Linked DNA regions of Bombyx mori. The protein of the gene in region 1 purifies or fractionates together with the protein of each later gene. This does not show direct contact. Links are inferred from orthologs where the notes say so. Each region holds a gene or a part of one and is shown in the gene's direction. Other genes may lie near its edges.

Region 1 (4,156 bases):
CTTGGATATTGTACAAGGCAAAAGGAACGCAGTCTATACAACTAAACTTTAAAAAAAAGACCGAAATCATATCTGTTGAATGAAAGAAAAATTAATCACAAAGATATCAAATTGATGAATTAAAATAACCTCCCAATAAATTCTAAAAAAGTTTGGAAACTCAGTAGATTTTTTAAGAGAACTCGAGAACCATCGATTTTATTTCTCGCATTTCGTAAATTCGAGCATAGTTATTGTTACCATAATTATCAAAAATGTTTAAGTGTAAAGGCGGCAGATAATGGCATGGAATGGTCCGTAATAAGCTCTTGTTGCGAGGAGGTGGTCACGACCCTCAGTATTGAGGAAACCGAAGCAAGAAGAAGAAGAAGTGTAAAGAAACTTCAAAACCAACGAAATAATACAATTCGTATAGCCTCTTAGTATACTCTCGACAAAATTTCCCCCGTAAACTTTAATAGGGGTTTGATTTATATAAATAATGTTGTAGATTTAATTTTTTCAGGTCTAGCTAAATTTAATTCTGTATGTCTTCTACCATTATGAAATGAAATTGATATTTATTAAAAATGTTTTGTAAAATGTACATAAAATGTAAACCCATCGAGCCTATTTCTGTGGTGAAGCAGAGCATTCTTATTTAAAACATGGAATAGCTGATAGTGCCCAATGCAATGATAACATTTTGTCTTAAAGTCGGCTTCAATGGCTCAATTAACCTTGTAATATCCATGGGAGAGGGGACAAACAATTATACCAAAAATAACTAGAAAATTTACTAAAATAACTAGGTATATGTACGACTTTTCTTCATTTTTTTGTCAAGATCAAGAAGCAACAACTTACCAAAGCAAAATGGTATAAATTAATGTTCCAGAGCGTTAATTATTCATTCTTCTAACATATGTTAGAAAGAGACAGACATAGAAAGAGAAAGAGAAGAAACGAGGGAAATAATCATTTCAAATTTGAAAATTATTACAATGTAAAAAATAAAAATACCATAAATGTTAAAATATATATAGTAAGAAATGTCTCAAATTCTTGATCATGTTTAATCTTTCTTTCGTAAAGAGGCGAAAGCCCTAAAAGAAGAAAGTAGTGATTGATTTTTCAATATTTTTCATCTTTTTGTAGTGATATTCTAACAGTCTATCGGGATATTTAACAGACTACGATATATAAATATATTAGACAAGTAATACCCGGTCAAATAGAAAATATTATGGTAAATAAAAAAAAAACAGGATTTGAAGGTTGATGCTTAACAATGTTAATTTTAAGGTTTGAAACGCGATTGTTGTTTGGGCGTAGGAAAACCATCTGTTTGATAATGAGTCATCAACCCCCAGTATCTTGTATTCCAAACACAGGCAAGATGTCGAAAGCTAAAAAAGTTATTGAAGAAGCCAAAGAAATAAATAATCCGGAAATCGATTTAGTCGACAAAGGAATATCTAGTCTCGAAGAGATTCCAGGCTTATGTGAGTGTCAAATAAAACCTGTTTTGTATCTTTTTTTTTTAACTAAATATTTTTAGTTCGTTTCAATTTTTACATCTATGTTTCAATAAAAAAGCTTAGATCGAAACCTAAGCTTAATGTATACTTTCGAATTTTAATTTATTCTACAGTTAGCTAATTTTAAAAACTAATAAATAACTGAAGTATTCTTACAATAAGTGTATTCGCCTACATAACCGTTGCAACTCATCTATAATAAATATTTTGAAGACAACAAACATGAAATATTAATTTAAACCTCATTTGGATGTAAATTCTCCAATGTTAACATTATATTAAACATAATAATATGTAATATAAGGTAAAAAATTGAAGTACTAATTAAAATATGACATCACTGCAGACCTATAATTCAAAATGAAACTCCTACGCCTTAAGACGGAACAGGATCAAACTTACGCTTAAAATAAGCCATGAAATATTGAAAAATGTTTGCAAGTTCCACACTACATTAGAACCATCAGTCTACTCAGTTATGGGTTTCAAGAAACTATGTGATTGAATGTACTGATGAAGAAATAGAAATAAAAGAATAACATTGCAGTGCTTTATCTGAAGGAAACAAACATCTTAGTGTCTTATGTGCTTATTAACCATTTAATATTAGAAGATTTGTGCATAGGGCCCACCTAAAGGCAATTAGTCACTGTTGTGCATGTGCTCAGTAATTATAGGGCAACAGCCATACTGGTCCATACTATTGAGCACTCCACAAACCTCATTTGAAGTAGAACAGGAAGGAAGGGAAAAATGGTGGAGGATAATTTATTCTAAAGCTGGATACAAAATAGCAGGAAATATGTCTGGTAATGCATTGTGGATGAATGCAGTGGTACCACATAGTATATTTGAATTGTGTTCTTGTGGTGGGCAATACAATAGTAAAAAGTAAATGAACAAATTCTTAGAGCACTTTCCAAGGAGCATACAGTACAAAAAACAGAGACAATTTACTTGTTTAAGACAATTTACTTTAGAGGGAATTCCTTCTGTAAACCCAAAGACTACAAATTGTCTATGTGAATAATATTATCAACAACATGGCCCTCTTTTGTATAGAAACAGATGGTTTGACCAGAGATGTGAGCAGTATTCCATGTGTGTCCGAACTTGTGCTTACAGATCAATGTATGATAAGAAAAAAGTTATGTAGCCCAAAGTATACAATGAGAAAACTATTTCTGTGATGACTTTGTATGCAAATATTAAATTCAAATAAAAATCTACCCAAATCTATTATCTTTTACAGTTTCTCTGGAGAACATCACTCGTCTGTCCCTAAGCCACAACAAAATCTCTGTAGTGCCTGCTGCACTAGCCAACTTGAGCAACTTAGAAATTCTAAACTTGGCCAATAACAACATTCAAGAGCTTCCAGTCAGCTTATCATCACTACCCAAGTTAAGGATCCTCAATGTTTCATTAAACAAACTGTATAACTTGCCAAGAGGCTTTGGTTCCTTCCCTGTGCTAGAGATATTGGATCTAACATACAATAATTTGAATGAAAAAGTATTACCTGGGAACTTCTTTATTATGGGTAAGTTATTTAAAATCATTTAAAATCACTAACTCTATTGGTTTTCTCACCCAGTTGAATATTCGTCTCTGGAACAACTATTGAACACTTTATCTCTAAGTACAAAGGCTATAGTGTGAATCTTTTTTGATGTTGATAGCAATAATGGATGTAGATGTAGGTCAAAATTTGTATGGTAGATAATTGGCTCCACCTAGTATCAAATGTGATTTGATACCTGCAATTCCATAGATATACATCAAAAGTTTACTATACAATTACATACATCTCACCACCAATCATGATGATTGACTAAATAGTACTTTTAATTCACTATTCACAGACAGTCTCCGTGCTTTGTATTTGGGTGACAATGATTTTGAATTTCTACCACCTGAAATTGGAAATTTGAAGAATCTACAAATTGTAAGCATTCTTTTAATCATTAGTCAAACTTTTAATTTACCCATGATTAGTGAGCTTTATAGACCACTCCATTAAATAACCTCTTACAGACCTGAGATATTTGAGTCTGCTACCTATAATATCTAAACTATAAGCGGAAATTGCATCCAAGCAGCATGCTGATATATACTACACAGACGATGGCACAATGCACAGCTTTCGTCGCCCTAAGCGTGTCAGATCCTTCCGATCCAATTAGTGTTTTAGTTCTAGTTAAACTTCTTGAAAAGTTCCACTTGTAACTTAACCTATAGACACAATCTGCTAAGTTTTCGCCGGATCTTCACAGACAGTCACAATTTCGATACAAGTATTAACAAGTTCGGTTGAGCCTGATGAGCTCATGTGCCAAAACGTACATAGCTGAATTAGCCCTTCGAGGCGAGCAGCGATTAATTATGGAAAAAACAATGTTATTGAAGAAGTTGGTAATGAAAAATACACAATTGGGGGATATCATTGTATGAAAATAGATTGTCTTAAAAATATCTATTTTTAATATAAGACCAAATCTTGTTTTTTATTGTTATGTTTCAAGAGAATTTTCTTAAGAGTGCTATATTTAGTGAAGGAATTAATAGAAGCTGTTTTAGTTTACAAATCGACTCATCTAGGATTCTTTATATATCTAGCTAATAGTTGTAAACCA
Region 2 (3,224 bases), on another chromosome or scaffold:
ACGACTTCAGACGTGCTCCTGTGATAACATAAATATAATTGGGAGTCTAAAATCTAGGGATAGCCAAAACCATTTTGTGATGCGACTGAAAAATGTTTTGTGATACGACTTCGCAAAATCATGATTAGTTTCTCTCAAAAACGTATTAATTTTATACGCAGATACCATTCGCGGATCTGTCACCAATGGAGTGCGGCATGAAGATAGCGCTTGAAGGTCTTCGTATAAGCATACCTCCGGGCGTGTCGCCTCACATCTCGAAACTCATCAAGATCTGCATGAACGAGGATCCCGGGAAACGACCATCTTTCGAAATGATCCTACCGATTTTAGAGAAGATGAAACGCTGATTTTGTTGAACGACACAATTAATCCGTTTTAATTTGGTAACTTTTTTTCCTCAAATGGTTTTGATACGTTTTTTTTTACTTCATTAAGGCAATGGCATCTTGAAGATTAAACACTATAGAGATGTGTCATGTGTTGTTAATACTCGTTGACCAGATCTAATATATTTTTAAATTGACAATAAAGTCATTGCCTTATCTATTTAAAAATAATACAATACCCAATGGCTTCATTATGTAAAAAATCCTACGTATTACCGAACAACTAAAACAATTGTTTAATACGTGTAACAAAAACATGAAAGCACTTAAAGGTTTTTCTAGCAGCCATTATTTTTAATTTTTTGTTGCGTAATCGTTCTATTTAGATTGTGTTCAGATTATTTTGATTTATGTTTTAATGGTAATGAAAATGTAACATTAACACGAGAAATGTTTTATAAATGCTAATATTTAAATCGGTGCTAAAATATATAATACTAAAATAAGTAAGCTTTATAATATTAAATGGTGTATTTTGAAAAATATATATGTATTATGAAATTAACGTAATAATAATATATTTCATACCCGCCGAGGTCAATATTAATTTTATAAATAAGTGCCATTTTTCTAGATCCAAGCATCACGTTGAATGAAGGAAAATTCGCATAGAGATTCGTCTTGAGTTTTTTTGTATTTATAAATACATAATATACTCAGGTCAACTAACAGACATTATTTTCAGATGAATTATCTAAATAGAACTTGTCAAAAAATGGTCTACAAAGATTTATATACATACATATTATATGCATTAGAAGCAATTGAAATTTGAAATGTTCTATTGGATAAGTTAAAATCATGTCATGTCAATCATCATCAATGCCTCTCATGCCTTCAATGTTGTCTTGTCAAATAACTATTAAATAGTATTTATTTAGAGAATCTCTGTCTTACAATAATAGCTTATAAATGTATCTTAAAATGTTATTCAAATGTGAAATGTGACATAAGCGTGCCTTAATACTGTTAATGAGGTCTTGATTTGTAGTAATCTAATCCTAATATATTATAAAATTAATGTGTGTTTTTTTGTTTAACCGGGTCTGTACGCCCGCTAGTTATCCGATATTTTAAAGCTACGTTTTTTTTTGCTATAGCTTCACCAACTTACGATGGGTGGCACTGGTCCAAGAAACATAACGTGTATTTTGAAGTGAAACTTCTAATGCGACTTCCAACAAGGTTGCGTTAAACGTTTAACGCTCCTGGGGAGGGGGAATAGAAAGAGACAGAGCGAGAGTGAATGAGTGGCACTCGAACGCATGCGCGTAGTATACTTGTTAAAGGCCAGCGCGAGCGTTAGCAACGAGTAGCGTCTAATATTTTAATGAAGTATTTAAAAAAAAATACTGGGTGTTAGGAGATCGCTTCCGCAAAACGAAGACAGACAATAGTGCTAATGACACCTTTGATGATGGGACGGAAAAAAAATATTTCATTTCTGTTTTTTTTTAGTAGAGTAACGTATTTTTCATGAAACTATCGTTTCATTTAGCTGTACTAACATAGGACTGGAGCGTAAATAATGCTAGTAAGAAGTTTTACAAATATGATTTTTTTTTAAATCAGGATTGATTTTTTCCGTCCCATCATGAAAGGTGTCATTACTACTATCGTCTGTCTTCATTTTCGGAAGTGGTCTGCTAACACCCAGTATATTTATTTTTCTATCTATGATATAATTGTTGAAGATGTCGCATCTCTTATACACAGCATTCCCTATTACAAGAGTAATCTGATTTAAGGATGAATGAAGAAAACCACAATACTACACATCGAAAAAGAAGTTTCACTTCATTCACGTGTACCAAGTTGTACGCGCACCATTTTTTGTATAATATCACGCGCTATGTTGCTTCCTTAAGCAAAAAGCCAGATCAGTTCCCCGGGAGAGTCGAGGGAGTAGAGGGAGTGGGTTGGTTTCTTAGTTGACCACGCATCGATGTTCTTGATGACCCTAAATAGTGGTTTAAATGTCTCTCTTCAAACGAGATAAGGTACTTTACACTCTAGATCTGACCGTCTCCGGTATAGCCGGTGGCGATACATAGAGGTAACTACCCATCATAATATATATATTTTGTTTTGTTGTCTTCGGCAACAAAAAAAAATGGCAATTTTATAATAATACAGTTGTGTAATTTAACAACTAACTATAACTAAACTAAAACTAATACATATTTTTATGTAATAAAATGTTCAATATATGGTTGTTTTTTTAAAATAGCTGCAGATTTGCTTTTTTTCCTTTTTTCCCCTCTAGTATTAAATATGTGGGATTCCCATTACACGAAGACAGTTAATAAATTGAACGAAAAAAAAACAATTGTAAGTAATTGCAGTACGATTTGCTCATAATATACTATTTGATTGAGCTTCAGTGCGTAGTACGCACTTGTTCTTGGATCAACAATAACTGTGTTCCGCATTATTCCGCAATCTTTTAAGGATTCTACACATATTTAGAGGCTTCTAACCAACATAATATTATTATGTCAAGGAGTGGGAAATAAAAAACATCAAATTAAATTTTTTTTTTTTCTTTTCTTGAATTTTATAAAATTACAAAACTTACAGAAATAAATCTATTATCATTCTCATACACGTTTGTGATCAAGGCAAGATAAATACATATTTTACTATTAAGTTGATGTAGAAACAAATACGTCTTTGGTGATGTTTTTAGAAAGTTGTTTTAACTTTATGTGATAGCTACCTAGTTAAATAGATATAGGTTAATTTTCAGTTAGTTATACAGTATCAATATAACGGGATGCCTTATAAACTCACTTTCACAATAGAGGTTAAATACAATAATACTTTCTAAACAAG

What was found. The genes of interacting proteins can lie anywhere in the genome.
Region 2: the proteins of ras suppressor protein 1 (region 1) and integrin-linked protein kinase purify together in Homo sapiens (affinity purification with mass spectrometry; 9 studies listed by BioGRID and IntAct, counting the BioPlex papers as one, with this or other methods). This does not show direct contact. The link is inferred for Bombyx mori from reciprocal best matches to the Homo sapiens genes RSU1 and ILK.

The regions. Positions count from the first base shown.
Region 1 is NC_085115.1:769,699-773,854, reverse strand, and holds the start of ras suppressor protein 1, read left to right. Parts: upstream 1-1,286; 5' UTR 1,287-1,333; coding exon 1,334-1,484; exon of another isoform or gene 1,485-1,772; intron 1,773-1,866; exon of another isoform or gene 1,867-2,178; coding exon of another isoform or gene 2,179-2,329; intron 2,330-2,772; coding exon 2,773-3,063; intron 3,064-3,385; coding exon 3,386-3,468; intron 3,469-4,156. UniProt on the Homo sapiens protein: Potentially plays a role in the Ras signal transduction pathway. Capable of suppressing v-Ras transformation in vitro.
Region 2 is NC_085117.1:15,195,670-15,198,893, reverse strand, and holds the end of integrin-linked protein kinase, read left to right. Parts: intron 1-161; coding exon 162-350; 3' UTR 351-2,618; downstream 2,619-3,224. UniProt on the Homo sapiens protein: Scaffold protein which mediates protein-protein interactions during a range of cellular events including focal adhesion assembly, cell adhesion and cell migration.